5 linked regions of the Mus musculus genome follow. The protein of the gene in region 2 interacts with the protein of the main gene of each other region in a pairwise test. Links are inferred from orthologs where the notes say so. Each region holds a gene or a part of one and is shown on either strand. Other genes may lie near its edges. The genes, in order: Hddc3, Ccdc172, Fam13c, Dctn2 and Smarce1.

What was found.
Region 1: the proteins of Ccdc172 (region 2) and Hddc3 interact in binary tests that used the Homo sapiens proteins (3 or more experiments, as listed by UniProt). The two-hybrid records come from large-scale screens. The link is inferred for Mus musculus from reciprocal best matches to the Homo sapiens genes CCDC172 and HDDC3.
Region 3: the proteins of Ccdc172 (region 2) and Fam13c interact in binary tests that used the Homo sapiens proteins (3 or more experiments, as listed by UniProt). The two-hybrid records come from large-scale screens. The link is inferred for Mus musculus from reciprocal best matches to the Homo sapiens genes CCDC172 and FAM13C.
Region 4: the proteins of Ccdc172 (region 2) and Dctn2 interact in binary tests that used the Homo sapiens proteins (3 or more experiments, as listed by UniProt). The two-hybrid records come from large-scale screens. The link is inferred for Mus musculus from reciprocal best matches to the Homo sapiens genes CCDC172 and DCTN2.
Region 5: the proteins of Ccdc172 (region 2) and Smarce1 interact in binary tests that used the Homo sapiens proteins (3 or more experiments, as listed by UniProt). The two-hybrid records come from large-scale screens. The link is inferred for Mus musculus from reciprocal best matches to the Homo sapiens genes CCDC172 and SMARCE1.

What each region holds. Positions count from the first base shown.
Region 1 is NC_000073.6:80,341,928-80,345,946, reverse strand, and holds the start of Hddc3 (guanosine-3',5'-bis(diphosphate) 3'-pyrophosphohydrolase MESH1), read right to left. Parts: upstream 2,811-4,019; 5' UTR 2,810-2,810; coding exon 2,698-2,809; intron 2,409-2,697; coding exon 2,353-2,408; intron 2,232-2,352; coding exon 1,991-2,231; intron 1,846-1,990; coding exon of another isoform or gene 1,720-1,845; exon of another isoform or gene 1,037-1,719; coding exon of another isoform or gene 1,005-1,036; exon of another isoform or gene 771-1,004; coding exon of another isoform or gene 718-770; exon of another isoform or gene 300-717; coding exon 169-299; 3' UTR 1-168. UniProt on the Homo sapiens protein: ppGpp hydrolyzing enzyme involved in starvation response.
Region 2 is NC_000085.6:58,510,776-58,514,785, reverse strand, and holds the start of Ccdc172 (coiled-coil domain-containing protein 172), read right to left. Parts: upstream 2,802-4,010; 5' UTR 2,720-2,801; exon of another isoform or gene 2,678-2,719; coding exon of another isoform or gene 2,429-2,677; coding exon 2,350-2,428; intron 2,170-2,349; coding exon 2,084-2,169; intron 1-2,083.
Region 3 is NC_000076.6:70,439,577-70,443,715, forward strand, and holds the start of Fam13c (protein FAM13C), read left to right. Parts: upstream 1-1,333; 5' UTR 1,334-1,437; coding exon 1,438-1,499; exon of another isoform or gene 1,500-1,561; intron 1,562-4,139.
Region 4 is NC_000076.6:127,272,757-127,276,271, forward strand, and holds part of Dctn2 (dynactin subunit 2), read left to right. Parts: intron 1-1,957; coding exon 1,958-2,054; intron 2,055-2,237; coding exon 2,238-2,299; intron 2,300-3,067; coding exon 3,068-3,166; intron 3,167-3,515. UniProt on the Homo sapiens protein: Part of the dynactin complex that activates the molecular motor dynein for ultra-processive transport along microtubules. In the dynactin soulder domain, binds the ACTR1A filament and acts as a molecular ruler to determine the length.
Region 5 is NC_000077.6:99,208,533-99,211,283, forward strand, and holds the end of Smarce1 (SWI/SNF-related matrix-associated actin-dependent regulator of chromatin subfamily E member 1), read right to left. Parts: intron 1,746-2,751; coding exon 1,537-1,745; 3' UTR 515-1,536; downstream 1-514. UniProt on the Homo sapiens protein: Involved in transcriptional activation and repression of select genes by chromatin remodeling (alteration of DNA-nucleosome topology).

The sequences.
Region 1 (4,019 bases), on a different chromosome or scaffold from region 2:
CCATATTCCGGGCCCACCTTAGTGAAAAAACACAGACGTTTTTAGCCTGTGATGTCAGGGTTGAGTGATGGAATGTGGGAAATGAGGAGGCTCTGGAACGCTGCAGTAAGAATCCCATCTTTCCTGGACCTTGCTGGAGCCATGCTGCAGGATGGCACAGAGAACGGCTCAGAGCGTCAGCCCTCGCTCCTCGAACAGCTGCTTTAGTGCCTCTTCCAGTTGCTGGTTTGTCCCTTGAAGCCCTTTTACCACCTGGGCTGCCCACTCGAAGTACTCCTGGACTCGGTGTTCTGACCATCCTGCACCAGAGTGGACAGAAACCTGCTTGTGTGGTGTCAAGGGCAGCATCGGCTTTTGCCTGTTTCCTGGCAGGCTTTGGTACAAGGCCGTGAGTTGCGATGGCATGATCTGACAACTTCTCCATGACCCAGCAACTCTGTTCCCACCTTAGGGAAGAAGACTATTCTAGGAGGTTGTACTGGCTAATTTTGTGTCAACTTGACACAGCTGGAGTTATCACGGAGAAAGGAGCTTCTGTTGAGGAAATGCCTCCATGAGATCCAACTTGCTTCTTGGTCATGATGTTTGTGCAGGAATAGAAACCCTGACTAAGACAAATTGGTACCAGGAGTGGGGTATTCCTGTGACAATCTGACCATGTTTTGGGGAGGACTGTGGAAGGACTTTGGAACTTTGGGCTTGAAGATCCATCCGTTGTTAAGAGCTCTGTCGGATGTCATGTAGGAGCTTGGAAGATAATGTTGAGAACACTGCAGAAGATGGAGCTCTGGTTTGTGAAATTTCAGAGGGAAAATTAAAGACTCTTTTCAGGGCCATTGCTGTTTTGTTTGTGAAGATTCTGTAGTTCTGGTTAGCTGGGGCTGAAGAATCAGCTGTGATTAACAAGATACCAGAACTACCAAGCAAAAACTTTGCATTACTGGGACTATTGATGCTGGTTAGCTGGAGCTAAGAAATTAGCGGTGATTAAGAAGAGACCAGCATCATTGAGGTGACATCTTCTGGGAAGTGTTTTCTGAAAGCACAAAGAGGCAGTGTTCCAGAGATGGCCAAGGATGTACTCCTGCTGCAGTGGGACTTGGTAATATGTAAGGGTCACCCAGGTGGTACTGGTTTTGAAGGCATGAAGGGGTCACGCAAAGCAGCTGAGGTTCGGTACTGTGAGAGGCCATGGAAGGCCATTGGTGAAGGTGCAGCCTCAGTTGCAATTGAAGGCCCAGGACTGAAGGGGTCATGCAGTGTTTTGGAGATGCCAGTACCATGAGATGACCACCAAGAGCAGCAGCAGCAGTGGGGTACAGGCATCTGGAGCCTAGAGGACGATGCGTGTGCTACAAAGGGCCTGGCTGGAGAAGTTACCCAAGCCCTTGGAGGAGCCCAGAAGATCGTGAGTTGGATCCCAGACATTGGACGGTTGGAGATTGACTTTTGCTTTTGATTGTGACTGTGCCCTGATATTTTCCCTCTTGAAGGAAGAAACTGTTTTAGTGGAGCCCACAGTTAAGAGACTTTTAATTGTAAAAAGACTTTGGATTTTAAAAGAGATGGATATTTTAAAGAGATTGAAATTTTAAGAATATGTAAAGGCTGTGGGACTTTTAAAGTTATTTAGATCTTGGGGATGAATAAGATTGTAAGGGTTGAGGCTTACTAGTGATGTTTTTGTGTGTCAAGTTGACAAGGGGTCAATTGTACTGGCTAATTTTGTGTCAACTTGACACAGCTGGAGTTATCACGGAGAAAGGAGCTTCTGTTGAGGAAATGCCTCCATGAGATCCAACTTGCTTCTTGGTCATGATGTTTGTGCAGGAATAGAAACCCTGACTAAGACAGAGGTTTAGTCGGAGGTGTTACGACCACCCCTCCCCACTCTACCCCCCGACTTATTTCTGGGAATCTAACCAACCTGTATTTTCAGAAGCTGGCCATCCCCTCCCCCTCTCTCCTCAGAGCCAGTAGGAGAGCATACCTGTAGGGGTGCAGCGATTCAGGTCCCTCAGATTGTATAGCTTGTCTGCCAGCTTCACCAGTTTGGCCCCTGGGCTGCTGTGTGGTGCCTGCTCCACCTGTTGCCGCTTTCTTTCCAGTTTGGGCAGAGTCTTGTCATCTGTTACCTCCTCCACCAAGCGTCGAACCTGTGCTCCAAAGTGCAGCTCTACCTCATCCAGGGTAGTATCTGTGTCTTCTACTGTGTCATGGAGCAGGGCGGCCTGGGGATAGGTTACCATTCAGCCCAGTGACACTAACCTACTAGCCAAATAAATAGCACCCATTGTTCAACAGTACTCTGGTTTCCCGCACCAGCCTCCTGGCAGAGAAGGGTAGCCTTACCTGTAACACCACAATATCAGTGATTCCAGCCTCATGGGTTAGGATCCGGGCTACACCTGGCAGGGGCAAAGCAGAAGTCAGTCTAGAAGGAGCCAGATGTAGCACCTCACCAGCTGGATGACCTTGGAAAGTCCCTTACCCTCTTGGGATATCGACTGTACCAAGGGAGCACTCCTGCCTTCTACCCCAGGTGAGGCTTACACGCATAACGCATGAAAAGTGGTTGATACAACGCTTGGGACTCGAAGAAGGCGCTCAGTAATTTATATGCGCTTTGTGTTCCCGTCCCAGTTAGTCCCCACCCGCCACGGGCCGCGAGGGCTGCTTCCCAACTGGCGCGCCCACCGATGGGGTGATTAATGTAGGGAGTCCCTTCAGGATCTTTTCGTCGCTGCTGTCGGTGTTTGTGAGCGGCGAAGTCAGCAGCCTCCAGCAGCTGAGCTGCCTCCGAGCCCATTGCGCTGGTGGCGCGAGGGACTGAAGCTTCGGAGTCCGAACAAATCACCTATAGCGCCGCCTGGCGCTTCGGAGGCTCGGAGAACGGAACTATTTCTAACAAGCTGTAATTCATTCATCCCCCCTCCCCCAACGTGTGTGCGCGTGCGTGTGGATTATAGAGGCTATAAGTCTCCACCTTAGTTTTTGGAGACAAAGACTCTCCTTGAACCTGTAGCCCAGGTATTTAGCAAGACTAGCTACCGAACGAGTTTCAAGGAGTCTCCTGTCTCTGCCTCCACAGTACAACAGGCGTAGGTTGCCATCCCCAGCTTTTTTACCTGGCTATTGCAATAATCTGAAAGAATGCAAGTCCTTATTCTTGTGCAGCAAGCACTTTACCCACTGAACCATCATCCCATTCTCAACGGAGGTTCTTTAAAGACCGAGATCCTGGATATAGAAGTTTTCAACAATCACAGCGGCTGGTGCAGCGTTCTCCCCACCATGCCCCAGGACGTAGTAGAACTAACAGTCTTTGCAGAAAAGGGAGACAAAACCAAAAGTGATAGTTTCACAGAGTGCTGGGTACAGAGCTGGAAGGCACGGGTGGCCGTGGGATCGTGGGGGGAAAGCCCATTTTATCTAGCCTGGGAGGCAGAGACAGCGTCTTCCACGAGAAAAAGGCCATCTACAGCCTGGCACAACACCCAGACCGTTTTCAACGTGCTCCAAACATCGCTCTCCTCACAGGGTCAGTCTCTGTTATCTTGGGCATCTGAACCTAACATCTTGGCCCTAGAGATGCTAGGATTTGACCTGGAGAGTTGGATCTTGCTTAATTGCTTCAGATGTGGGCTCCTGGGACACAACACTGTTTCTACAGAAACCGTTTGCATTCATCTCTTGAATCATGAGGGAGCCTGCTTCAGTCCCCAGACCTCTGCTCTGGGCCCTTGAGGTAGTGAGTCTTGTCCCCGCGGTTTCAGGAGCATAGTGTTGCCTAGCTTGGGTAGGCACTGGAACAATCCTTCTCTCTTTACCGGCCATCGAGCTTTGGATCTTCTGGAGAAATCCCGTCTTGGCGTTGGCAGCTCTGAAGTATGAGGGATAAGCAAGACCTTGGCATCTCCCCAAAGGGTTCTGAGAAGTGGAGACAGCCAGCTGCTAAGTGTATTCCACCAGGCAGGTAGCTTTTGTGTCTGGGCTGGCAGCTGGGGAGATAAGGCTCA
Region 2 (4,010 bases):
ACCTCGGCCCCTTGCCATGTGTGGAGTGTATATGTAGTCTCTGTGTGTGGTATGTATGTGTATGTGTGTGGGTTATGTGGTGTGTGTGTGTGTGTGTGTGTGTGTGTGTGTGTGTGGTGTGTGAGTGGTATGTGTGTGTGCTGTGTGTGCATGTGTGGTATGTGTGTGTGGGTGTGGTATATGTGTGGTATATGTATGTAGTGTGTTTGTAGTGTGCGTGTGGTAAGTGTGCATGTGTGGTATGTGTGGTATGAGTATTTGGGGGGTGTGTGTGTGGTGTGTGGCATGTGAGCGTATGCCTGTGTGTATGTCCCTTTTCTTCTGTTGACTTCTACTTGCCAACCCAACTTTCAAAGCATCTTAATTCTTCTTCAAGGAAAAGACTGCTCCATGAGGATACTCTCCACCTCTGCCCACCCCACCAGGGTTCCCCACTGTCACTAGCCTACTTTCTCTTTTACCCTGGGAAAAATCAGACCTAGGGCTCAATGAATACTCGTCCCAAATTCTGTTTTAAAAGATAGCCAGTTTCTTTTAGGTGAAGGGGGCAGATAGGAAAGGTTGCTTGGTTAGTAAGTGCTCACAGTTAGGAGGGATAAATACTGGTATTAGAATACATAGCAAGGTGACTATAGTTAATGACATATACTAAAAATTCAAAGATTTGTAGTATTTTCACCACAAACACAGGATAAATGTTGGCACAGATATATTAACCTGGAGTTGAGCATTACAAAATATGTAACAAATAACATGGAACCTATAAACATGCACAACTTTTATTTGTCAAATCATCTAGACCATTCTTTCCTTGTTACCCTCTCTCAGTAGTGAATACACTCGTGCACAATGTTTGCTATGCAACAAACACAAAGAGAATAAAGGTGAATTAAAAGAACTAAGTACGTTCCTCTTAAAGAAACCGGGGCTACAAACACAACTGCATGTTGACAGTTAGCTAAGAGATTTTACAGAGCTGTCTAGGAAGGCTTTAAGATATATGAGCAGGATATGGAAAGAAGAGAGAGCATTCACCACGTGGTAAAAGTGCAAGAATTATTTTATCCACAGAAAACTGAAAACTCCTCACAGATACATGCTAAGTTAATAGAGTAATACTTTATATACATAAATGTATAGCTTATATTTCTGTTAAATATAAATTTATATTTAATATGTAATAAAATGAAGATTTTATTAACAAAATCCTTTGAGTGATTAAGTAAAATAGTCTGCCCCTATGCACTGCTCCCCTAGCTCATCTTTAGGTGTTGGAACATTATCACTGTGGACTCACTGGACACGGAATCCCTCCTGTTGGACTGAGGCCTTCAGCACACCCTCACCATCTTCACTGTCCACCCCCATCTTTGTGATCAGAGCACAAGGAGACCCCTGACAGCACGTTCACTGCCCCCCCTCTGGACAATTCCCTTCCAGCTCTCTCAGCAGCCCTCTGCTGGCGCCCAGAGTCCTCTCTCAATGTGCCTGGGGAAGATCTGCCCCCTACTGCTACCAAAGGTCTCTCCTACTAAATCTCTTTTCTTTCTCAAAAGTCTATCCTTGGTTCAACCTCTTCCTTGAAGCTGTGAGGTTCCCTTGGTCCTATTTTTCAAAAGGCAGAACTTTACAAATGCAGCCAAAGAGAGAAATGAGAGCAGGGAAGAGATTCTTTTGGCTGAGACATACTCAAAAACGTGGTCGTGAACTGAAAAGCAGAAAGCCATCGTTTGAAAGATATATACAGTCTGTTACATCCACATTGCACGCTTAAATTACTTAGTATTTAAAATTCATATGCTGCACTAAGGAACAATTATTCTTCCAAATGACACTTCTCTTATAAACATTAACCATTCCACAAAATGGACAAGGAATTCGGTAAGTCTGGATTCCTTGGAGCCACTTCCTGTTAAGAACTAAAGATAGCGGATTCAGAATCTTAGGTTCTAGACAACATTGAACCACAGTATATAGCTGTTGCGGCTCCTAGCTGAAGGATACGTAGACAGTAAATAGCTCCCCAAAGCCAAGCTCAAGACACTTCTTCAAGTAACCCTTAGCATGTTCTATGCATCAATACCTTGGATTCCAACTTGATTTTCTCTTCACTCAGGTCCTCTGTTGCTTTCTTAATTTTCCCACGACATCTGGTAATCTCCGACCTTACTGTAATACAAACAAAATCTTTACTTGCATTCACCTTTCTGAAGCCTCCATCTTAGGAGCTGTTGGCATGTGAGGTTTCCCTCCAGGTTGCAAACTCCACTCAAGCCTTCCCTTCCCCTCCAGTCTGAGGTGCAAACACCCAGCTCCAAACGCCGAAGGCCCCCCGGGGGCAGGCCCCACCTTCCCGCATCACTCTGCGGCTCTCCTCCGCCTGATGCTCACTGAAGATGATGTGCTGAAACAAGGACTCCAGACTCATCTCCGGCCGGCTCGCCCTTAATATTTGATAAGGGAGTCTGAGGATCCTGGAAAGCACAGCGAAGAGAGAGGGCTGTCCGGCTGCTCCCTGCTGGGCTGCCCGCACCACCCACCCCTGCCCAGTGGAGCCCCATGGGGGAGCTCGGCCTGTTCCTCCATGCTCGCCCACAGCGCGGCCTGCTTCTGTGCTGGGTGCAGCTCCCACAGGAAAGTCTTGGAGAACAGACATGGCAGCCTTGGCTGGGGCCATGCTTCCCTTCCCCAGCTCCCTCGCTCCCCCAGGGGAAGATGCCTGTGGTCAGGGGCTGGCGACGTCCCCTCGTCCCCTCACGTGTGTCCAGCGCAGGCGGCCTCCACTGATCTCGCGAGAAGTCAGCTACGGGAGCCTGGTGGGGCCAGTCTGCAGGGTCTGCGCTCACGGGTCTGGGGTCTTTCTAGAGGTGGGACGCCCAGTCTTCAAGGATTACAAAGTGCAAAGTACCAGTGATTCTAAATATAAACTTTTGCAAAGTCTTATGCTGGGAGGCTCACAAAGACAAACGTACAATATCTGACATTCCGTCGTAATCATTCCTTCGTAATCAGGGCATATTTTTTTTTTTTGTCTGCTCCGAAATTAATCATTGCCTTTTGTAATCAAGCCTTGGTAATATTAACACTTCAATATCTGCACAATGTGTGTCAGAGACCAAAGTGGTTGCTAATTAAGGCTTAAATGTGAAAGGCACCTTTGGGGCTTTTACATGAGTTTTTCTTTCTTCTTTTTTTAATTAAAAAATATTTTCAGTTTCGGTAGCTCAAAATATTGACATTGTAATAAATATTTGACTTTATTATAAATGTAAAACTGACACTGGCTAGACTTTTTAAAGTAACTTTTAGTTTGAATGTGTTTTAAATTATGTAAAATAAGGTAAATGAAATTTTTTGTCACATAGAATAGGCTTAATTAATAGCCCATTAATGCCACAATATAATCAGTTATAAATTCTAACCTATTCTAAATTTCTACCTTAATTTTCATCTGGTCATGTCTGCATAAAGTTTAATGTTTGAACTATCAGAATACACACTGAAATTTGAAATGAAGTTGAAAACAATTACTTGGAGCTATTCAGAAGCAAGTATTGATGAAAATTTTCTCACTATCTTTTGGGTAGCCCTTTTGTTTTTTTGGGTAGATCTTCTGTCTTTTGGGTAGCCCTTCTTGACAAGAACTTCTTATTTACAACCTTGAAGTCCCATGAATAAGGAATAATAACATTATTTTGTTACTTGTGTTTTGATATAATAATTATTATGTAATTCAATATTTATTGTTTGTTTGCTAAGCACTCTCTTTCTGAGCATTCTACATCTATTTGAGATGATTTTTGTCATTTCTTATCTGATATAGTTAAGGAGACAGACTCAAAATATTCCAATAAAAATGAATTCATGAGACTATTCAGTTCAGTCACTATCTGAAACCTTGATGTGTACTAATTCTTTTAATCAAGCCAATTATCCCATTAGAACTATGTTTTTGTTACTTGAAAGGCTAAGTAACTTGCCCACAGTCATGTTTGATCACTAGGATGTAG
Region 3 (4,139 bases), on a different chromosome or scaffold from region 2:
GCTGCCCTCCTCCTCAGCTTCTTCCAGCTTTTCCCCAATTCATCCACAGGGGTCCCCCGCTTCTGTCCATTGGTTGGGTGCTAGTATCTGCATCTGACTCTTTCAGCTGCTTGTTGGGCCTCTCAGAGGGTTCATTATATTTTCAACTGGTCCACAGCATATTCATATCAACTGCTGTTTTTCAGGTGAAAGCATTGTTCCTTCTGTTCTAGATGAATCACTGGAGATGTTTACGCAATCAAAAGGCTGGTCTTTCTTCACACTGAACTACCCAGAATGGGCACCACAGCCCTCGAGCGCAGGGGCGTTTGGGAAAGTGACAGTCTTTGGATCTGAGGACAGGAAGATATCCTGTGATTAGACTTCACGTTGCCATCTAGAACCTAGTTCCATGGGACAGTAGGATTAAGAACACATGCATAGTATAGTTCAACACGTAAGTCTGTGATCGTATTTCAAAATTCAGAGGCAGGTCTTTCCAAGTCAAGGTCAACATGTCAGGAAACATGGACAATGGGAACGGGGCAGGGTAAACATCTCCAAGCAAGAATAAAGCGGGGTGGGGGTGGGGCTGACCGGCCCTCCCTTCCCCCAACAAAGTAGACTCCATCAAAGGGAACAACGTTTGTGAGTTGTCATTCCATCCTTTGTGAAGGTGCGGGGCTGCTGTGGGGGTAGGAGTCCATCTCCCCGCCTGGCACGGTGTCCTAGGCATCAGCGAAGGCCTGGAAAGCATTCTACATTCGCCTGCATAGGTTCATTCACATCTCTGTGGTCCTGCGCTGGGCGCTTCCTCTAGCGGAGTAAAATAACAAGAGCGCAGACGGACCTGTCGGGATGCAGCCCGCCCTTGGGAGCCCTTTTGTTCTAGGCAATAAAAACCAACACACAGTGAAAATAAATCAAAACTCAGCATCCATATCCCTCTCCTCCTTCTCGATCTCTCCATGCTTTCAGGAAAAGCGACAGAAGCATCTTTGCTCGTTTGCATCCCTAGGGTGGGGTGGGGGCTGGGGAGGTAACAAGCCATGGGAGGCGGGCATTGTATCCACTGGGGGGTGGGGGGGACGACGCAATCTGTATTGCCAGCTGAGGCTGAGGTGGCAGGCTCAAGCAGCTTGGACTCTCTGTAGCTCCTAGCTGCCTACCAGGGTTGCGCGGAGCAGCTCCAGGTTCCTGAGGCTGAAGCCCCCGGTCGCGCGCCGCCGCGCCCCGCCCCATCGTCCCCGCAGCCTCGCGGGCTGCTGGGCTTTGTGGTTCGCCGGTGCCGCTGGGCCCCTGCTGGGGGTGTCGTCAGGAGCATGTGCAGACAGCAGCCCAAGGTAGAGCGAGCGTGCCGGGCGAGCCCTAAGACTTGCCTGGCAATGCCATGTTTGTGTGGGTGCTCTAACTCCGGGAGAGCAATTAGGGAGACGGCTCCCCGGCCGCACTTGGCTCATGTTTTCTTGTTTCTGTTTCAGCCTTCAGGATAATTCCTTCGGCAGCGCCGCTGTAACTGAGTAAGTGCTTCTTGCCCTTACAATCGACTTGCATTCCTGTCTCCGAAGCAACTATGGTGAAGGTATCCCCTCCCGCTGCCACCCCACTCCACCCCACCCCACCCCTGTCCCCAAGCCCTCTTTCCAGGCGATGCATTGTCTCCTGGATCCTGAGGCTGCGAGGCTGGCGGGGCCCACAAACCTCACACAGGTTGCAGCCAGTATTTTGGCAGCTCGGGGTGGAGGGTGCGCGGGGGTAGGGAGTGAGGAGCGGAAGCGGGGGGTGGGGGGAGTAATAAACCTAGCTTGATTGCTGCGGGAGGCTCCGTGGCCCAAAATATGCAATCTTGGAGCTTAGCTTAAAAAAAAATCTATGTGACATGTCAGAAAGGAAGCTGGGTTGTATTTTGCCAACATGAGTGTCAGTTTTCATGGAGTGCACGCAGTGTACATTTGCCCCAAATAGACGGATGTGAGCTAGCAGGAGTTTAATTCCAGCATATTTAAACAGGGTAAACTCACCTTCCCTCTCCGTGTGTACAGATTTTTAAGACACAGTGCGGTAAACTTTTCTAGATGCCTTTTTGTGATTTTTCTCGTCTGGCCACAATAATGTGACTATAGAGAAACGCCTTGCCTGACTAACAACCTAATAACAGTTCATAGTGGAGGGAAGGGAAATAATGTTTTACTCTAGGCCAGCCCGTGTGTGTGCGTGTGTGTGTGTGTGTGTGTGTGTGTGTGTTGATATTGATAGTGCTTTGTTTTTATTTTGGTCATCTCTTCCTTAGTATTTTCTTAATAGAATCTATATATCAGAGGTGAACGTGGAGTAGATTTTGCTGGCACTGTATGCAATTCACATATAGCTGGGAGTATAAACTATATGTATTCCATTTTATCGTAGGGAAATTAGTGTTTACTTCTGGGACCTTTTGGTAAAAGCTACTCGGTAAAAGCTTTTTGCAGCAGGCTGTGTGTGTGTGTGCATGCGCAAAGTTGTGTATCCCACTACTTAAGAGAATTGTGAGTTTCATACAGAGGCTACAAGTGGCTTAGAAGCTGTTTGCTAAAGAAACCTGAACAGTGACGAGAGCATCTTTTGGCTTTCAGATCCTGCCACTGTTGCAGAGACTTGGAGAGGGAGGGCTGAGGTTCCACTGTGCTTTCTGGGCCTCTTCCCCATGCACTTTTGCTTGTCTGGTTTGCTACTGACTTAGTACCCCGCTTTGAGCTCATCTAAGTGGGGTCTCTTTAAAATAAGGACCAGGTTGACTTTCAATGATTCACTATGGCCTGTCCACTGGAACCCTGGACACGATAGTGACATTGCCTTGCAATAGAAAGATAGAGAAAGAGAGAGGTGGGGAGAGATACCTGTGGGCCAAGGATGAGGCCTGAATTTCCTGGATAAGTGGTCAGGTAACATCTCTCTTTTCCTCTGGGTTCCTTGGCACCACATGTTTTTCTGGGCCTGATTCTTGGGAGTGTTGTGTGGCTGTATTCCTAGAGTCAGCCATAGTCACAGGCCCAGGAGTTTCAAGATGGAGACTTTTAGTTCCAGCTTTCATATGGTGTGTGTGTGTGTGTGTGTGTGTGTGTGTGTGTGTGTGTTTGTTATGGTTAAATGCTGGGGAGACTCTTGGTGTCTTGTCCTTGGATACTCCCCAAGGAGTTCTGATTGCATAAGATCACGTTACCCTCAGAGAAGTGACAGAGGTTCCTTTTAAAAGGCTGTGAGTAGTGTCTGGGAAGCCATCTGGCTAATGCAAGAATCTAAGGAACTTGCAACACACCCAAAGCCCCACAGGTGTGACCCGGCTCAGCTGAGGGGCGTCCTAAACCAGTGGTTGTCAAAACGGAACATTGTTCATCTTCTCCTCTCAATAATATGAAACTGTTCCTGGGTCTGTGGACTCCCGGCAGGACCAGAGGGTGCTATCCTGAGACACAGACATAGCAGCTTGTCCTGGAAGTGTTTGGGTGCCATGTTAGTCTGTCCCGAGGAGGTTCTTTCCTCTTCAATGTTTCTGAGAGGCAAAGATCCTCTGGCTCCTGTCTTCACCCATGTCCAGTGCCTCCTCTCCAGACCACTGAAAGTTCAGGCCTCTGGTGTTGATCCTTATTAAAATGGAAATTAAAAACTCTGTGCCTTGGAAGGCGCATCCAAGCAGTCATTAGAGTTCCCTATGAATTATTTTATCAGATAGACTTATGTGAGAGGATGCTGCTTGACCAGTCGTGATTATTTGTATGTGCGCGCGCGCCTGTGTGTGTATGCATATGTGTGCCGTGTGCGCTCATACAGTGTGTGCATGAGGGAGCCTTTGGAGGTCAGAGGTTAACATCCTATGTCTCCTTTGATTTCATTCAACCTCATTTCTCACTGAACTTGGAGTTTATGATGGGTTAAGACTGGCCAATGAGCTCTGGGGAATCCTCCGGTCTCCATCCATCCCCAGACCCAAGGCTTTATAGGTACCACCACTAGGATGGACTGACTTTAAAGTGGTTGCTGGGGACTCACATTCAGGTCTTCATACCTGAGCCTAAGACAGTGTCCCACTGAGCCAGGGCTCTGTCTCCCCAGCTGGAGGTCCTGGGAAGAGTCACAGGAAGAGTGGAATTAGGAATCAAGGGGCAGAATCCTTTTCGTTTTGT
Region 4 (3,515 bases), on a different chromosome or scaffold from region 2:
CCCTCACAGAGCACTTTCTCTTCAGGTTGTGCCCCGTGCCTTTTCCTTTCCTTTTCTTTTTTCATTTGTGTGTTGGTGGTAGCAGAGGTCTAGCGCAGGGGCTGAAGCCTGCAAGGTCAGTCCTCCAGCACCAAGTGACAGCACCAGCCTCTCATCCGCTTCTTTTCTTCTTTTAAGATGGGATCTCACTCTATAGACTAGCTCGACCTGGAACTCAAAGTGACCCAGCCTGCTTGGTGCTGGGATTAAAAGTGTCTTCTGCTGCTGTCTGGCCATCTTTTTAAGAAGTTAGTTTTTTTGGTTTTGTTTTTGAGTAGAGTCTTGGGATCCTAGCTGACCTGGAACTCAGAGTGAAGACCAGGCTGGCTGCAGACTTGCAGCTATCCTTCTGCTTCAGCCTCCCAAACGCTGGGATTACAGTGTGAGCGTCTTCCTGGGTGCTGGGATTACACACCTGTGCCACCATGCTTGTCTGAAAAGGGGCCTCTGCCTTGTTGGCTTTTATGGAGAGAAACCATGTTTCCGGGAGCCAGCAGCACAGCTATGCTTGCCTGTCTTGAGCTGCTATCCTTAGGCAGTTTAGAGACCAGAAACCACAGGGCTACTTGGCAAGTGGGGACTTCTGAGGGGAAGGGGTGAGGGGGACTCCGATGTCTCTTCTCTCCACTGGGCCCTTGTCTTGTCCCTCTGCCTAACAGCTGCCTGAAGGGAGGGAAGCTGCTGCTTTGTCCTCGCCTTCTCTCTTGTCCTCAGCCCGAGGCTGCCGCCCATGCCCGCCACGTTCCCCCTGTGACTCTGGAGAGGGGAGGATGGACCCTCCTTGCAGCCAGTGCTCTCTCTCCTGTCCTGGTTCTCCTCCCTGCTCCCCACACACCCACACACAGGCAGAGAGAGCACCTAAGCTCACACCTAAGAGATGGGCCCAGGCCTGTTCTTTTTCTTCTCCAGGAAGGAAGGGATGGAGGGAGGACGGAAGGCAGGGAGGGAGGGAGGAAGGAAGGCAGGGAGGGAGGGAGGAAGGAAGGCAGGCAGGCAGGCTTTTCTAAGAGACTCTAATGTGCAACAACCCGATTGAGCTTCATTTCCTAGATTCAGGGAGATGTCAACCCCTAACAAAACAGCACTCCTAGGCACCTCCCTTCCTTCAGCACTGTAGTGACCTTCCCTGGTTGGAAGATGTAGTTGTTGATGTGTAAGGAGTGTCACCCTCAGGTCTAGGGTACAGTGTTCCCTCTCTGCATGTGCCTGACTTGATTGTTTGGGTGCAACAGAGTGGTCTAGTAGCAGGGGCACATGCCACGCTTCTCAGTGCTGGGGGCTATGTCCAGCCCTTGCCTAAGGTGCTCCTGGGATACTTGTAAGGTGTCCCTTTAATAGTAACCCGCTGAGCTGTCGCTGCTCCTCCATATCCCGAGCTGTCTGGCCCCACAGTAGCCCAGAAACCAGGCTTCTAAGCACACACTCTGCCAATAGTCCTCTTCTATCTATGAGTTGGTATCTTACCTTGTACAGATTAAACCTGCCATTTTACATTGAGAATATTGCCCTTGCCTCCTCCTCCCCGTCCAGCATGGGCGAAGAGTCAGCTCTATGGACTTGTTTAGCCAGGGAAGAAGATTTACTTTTGGGAGGGGGAGGTTAGGAGAGGTCAAGTTTGTTTCTTGCCCTGAGTGCATGGTGTATGCCAGATAACTGGGAGAGGCTGAGGGAGGGAGGCTTATGTACAGAGTGGGTGGGGGAGGCTACACTGCCTCTGTCCCTAGCTAAATCAGGGTGTTAATACTTATACTACCAAGGCTCCAGCTTTACCAGGAGGCTTCTCTTTCCCAGGCTGAGCCTGGGTGGGAGGCTTGGAATGGAGCCCCCCTTCTTTCTCCTTGGAAAAATAGAGTGCAGTGGCTTAGTAGTTTGGGGGCTTTGTGGGATAGAAGAAATGCTAAGGTCCCTGTCCCCTCAGGAGGAACTGAGCAGCACAAGCGTGGAACACATCATTGTCAACCCCAACGCTGCCTACGACAAGTTCAAGGACAAGAGAGTGGGAACAAAGGGGCTTGGTGAGCCTGGGCTGGAGGCTTGGGGAGGGGATGCGGGCGTGGTCCTAGAGAGCGAACAAGCTGCCTGAGCCCTGCGGATCCGATCCCTTGTGGAGCCTTCTGGGACCAGCCCTCACAGTCACCTTGGTCTGGGGCTGAACTGGGCCTAGACCAGCTCATTCAGTAGTCTTCTTCTCTTGACAGATTTCTCAGATCGCATTGGAAAGACCAAGAGGACAGGATATGAGTCTGGAGACTATGAAATGGTTTGTTGTGTGATGACCGTGGGGTGAGCCTAGAGCAGGCCTGCAGGGGAGTGAGCAGTGTTAAGTTTGGGGCTTTGTTTCTTTATTTTAAATTTCTCTCTCTCTTATTTTTTTGTCTTTGTTTTTTGCCTTGGGGATTATTATTATTTTGTTGTGTTTTTGTTGTTGTTTCAAGACAGGGTTTCTCTGTGTAGCCCTGGCTGTCCTGGAACTTGCTCTGTAGACCAAGCTGGCCTTAAACTCAGAGAATCATCTGCCTCTGCCTTCCAAGTGCTGGGATTAAAGTCTTGTACCACCATACCTGGCTTTGGTTTTTGTTTTGTTTCTTTAAGATTTATTTATTTTTATATTGTGCAAATGAGTATTTACCTGCATGAATGTACCATGTGTGTGCCTGATGTTTGGAGAGACCAGAAGAGAGCATTGGATTCTGTAGAAATAAGGTTACAGATGGTTGTAATTCACCTTATGGCTGCTGGGACTGAAGGTCTCTGAGGGCAGCCAGTGCCCTTAGCTGCTGAGCCTGAGGGATGTAGTCTTAGTCTGAGTTTGTCTGAGTGTCATCCACGCAAAATACATTTGAGAGTGTTGTGCTCCCTGCTACAGTTCTGGAGTCTCCAGATCTCTGTTGTCTCCCTCTCTTCTGTAAGAGGGTAGTGAGGATCCAGGTGGTAGAGGGATACCTTATGACTTAGGTCCAAGGTTTGGATTAACTCCGAGGGCTCCCTCTAATGGGACAGGTAACATCAACTTCCTCCTTGTCTCTAGCTTGGAGAGGGTCTGGGAGTGAAGGAGACACCGCAGCAGAAGTACCAACGACTACTGCATGAAGTCCAAGAGCTGACAACTGAGGTGGAGAAGATCAAGGTAACGTCCATACCCTGGCTTCTGAGTGCCTGGGCTGTGAGGTTTCCAGAGCTGGGGAATACAAATCTATATTTAACACTGTTAAATTCAGTGCTGTTCTAAAATCTATCCTGGGCACGTGGCAGTGGTGACTGGAAAGATTAAGAGCACTGGCTGCCCCTTTGGAGGATCCAGGTTCTATTATCATCACCCATTTAGGGCCTCCCAACCATCTGTAACTCTAGTCCCATGGGATCTGATACCCCCTTCAGGCCCCTATGGCCACTGCATGCATGTGATATACACACTGCATGCATGTGGCACACACATTGCATGCATGTGGTACACACACTTCATGCATGTGGTATAC
Region 5 (2,751 bases), on a different chromosome or scaffold from region 2:
GAGGATTCTATTTGTGGCTATCCAATTTGTCTGAGATAAGATGGTTTGAATTCTTAGCCCTACATGCTCAAAACCCCAAACAGACCCGTTGATAGGAAAGTTCTTTGCCAGGGTAGACAAGGCTACACAGAGAAATCCTGTTTTGAAAAAAAAAACAACAAAAAATTGTTTGACTCTCAAGCAACTGTAGAATCACAGAAAAACTGGCCCAAGGATGACCCCACACATCAGGCTTCCTCTCAGGGAACTGCTCAATGCTGTGTCTATACCGGCAGTTACTCAAGTGTGGGTGCAGGTGCCGTCTCTCCATGAGCACAGGCTCTATTCACTTACTGGCCACACTTCTTGCACACTACTGAGATTTCTTCAGTCCTATTGATACTGACAGTTCATGAGGCAAGGTTCCTAAAAGTGACATCTTATGACCATGGATCATTCCATGATGTCCCTGTATCATAGTGACCAAATTATGTCTACATATTATCTTCCACAGTGCAATAAAAACACTGAGACCTTTGTCTTAATTTCTTTATTATGTTTGGACCTTTAAGAAACATATACCATCATATATACCACTATTCAGTAAAAATCTATTCTAGATTTTAGGGAGCACACACTACAAACTATCTTGTTTCTAGTCTCTAAGACCACTACAGGGGTTATCAAAAAAGTAGGTTCGGCTCTGATCTATGGGATCTCGAGTCTTGAGGTTTTCATCACTGTGAAGTATGCTCACATGGATGAACAGCATTCCCATTTTCCTTTTGGAATGGGCCAATCACTTTGAAGTCTGTAGTCCATTATAAGAACATTCCATTCCTTAAGCTCTGCCATCTATCGTGTCTTTGGAAAGCCAATCTGGTAAAAAAAAGTGTTTCTTTCCCCTGTACAAAAAGGATGAATTTCCCAGAACACATCCCAGATCGACTACACTGAACAGCACTCTAGATAAGCAGGCGCAGCTCTCACCAACAAGGAATCCACAGAAAGAACAACTGTACTCCCCCTGCTCCCCCACCCCCAGTGCCCCCAGAGGCATCTCTGTGATCTGTGTCTCACCAGTTTCTGGCTACACCCTACCCTGTAAGAGAACTCCTGGTGTCTGACATGGGACATAGAAAGGGTGAGTGAAGAGACCCCCTCATGATTTCAAGAGGGCACTCTGTGTAAGTACACAAGACAGGGACTGGGAAAGCTGTGGATGGGCTGGAAGGGTTTAAAGCTATGGCTTTGGTGAGCACCACGTGAGCTGAAGGCAGGTATTTGGAAGAGTCGATTCTGCAGCAGCCAAGGTAGTTCTCAGAGAATGATGGGTGTCTTGATTAATCTCAGCTCTGAGGTTTCAGACGTTGAGAGCTAAGAAAGGTGAGCGGCTGGCATTAGGCTATGATGCTGAGGGTTCAAAGACCTTCATGTTGTATCAACGGAAAAGTAAATAATTAATACACAGACCACATAACACCATTAAAACCAAAAAAAAAACCACATTTTTTTTTCATTTAAAAAAGTTTTAGGTCACATAAAACAAGGCAACATTTACTCCTTCTTCTCGTCTTCTGGCACTGGGTCTGTGGGCGGCTCCTCCACTGTGGCGCTGTTGCTCTCTGAGCCCGTGTTACTGTCACTGGTCCCTTCCACCTCCATGCTGTCAACCCCCTCCTGCCCACTCTCCTTGTCCTCAGGAGTAGACGTGCCTTCTTCACCATTCTGCTGGCTCTCTGCTGTGTCTTCAAGGTGTGTCTCCTCTGAAACCATACATTTACCACCATCAGTTCCAAGAAAAACATTCACTCTTAACTATTCTGATGGCATTGGACAGCCACACGTGGAGAAGCCCTGAGATGACCTAATATGATTCAGGAGTATTTACCAATATTTGAGACAGCTCAGGGTACAAAAATCTACATTTTTACCTACAGTATTACAAAATTTAAATACATACCAAACACATTCGTGGTGAGAATTGAGATTTTGAAATTAGGAAGTATATGAAAGGGGCTGGAGAGGTGGATCAGTGGTTAAGAGCACTGGCTACTCTTCAATTGGATCCAGGTTCAGTTTCCAGCACCCACAAGATCTAAATAACTTTAAAAGTCCCACAGTCTTTACATATTCTTAAAATTTCAATCTCTTTAAAATACCCATCTCTTTTAAAATCCAAAGTCTTTTTACAATTAAAACTCTCTTAACTATGGGCTCCACTAAAACAGTTTCTTCCTTCAAGAGGGAAAATATCAGGGCACAGTCAATCAGCAGCTCACAACTGTCTGTAACTCCTGTTCCAGGAGATCCAGACCAACACTTACACAGAGATACATGCAGTCAAATCACCAATGTACATCAAATAAAAATAAATTATTTTTAAAAAGTATATAAAATACACACTGGATTTCAAAGCTTTGCTACGACAACAGAATGTAAGACAGTCACAGCCTTGCGTGTGTCCGTGAGTCAGAGGAGACAAGTTCTGCTCCTCAGTCACTGTGCACGTTTTTGAGACAGGCTCTCCCACTGACCTGGAAGTGACCAGGCAGGCTAGGCTGGCAGGCCAACGAGCCTTGGGAGCTGCCCATCTCTATCTCCCCAGTCCTGGATCATGAGCATGCGCTACCATGCTTTTTACATAGGAGCTCAGGTCCAATCTACTCAGCTTTCTCTCTAGCCTAGAATGTTAATAAGTTTAAAAATATTGATAGATAACACTGAAATATTTTCTGGAGACTTGGTTTAAACGTCACATTAAAAGGAAGC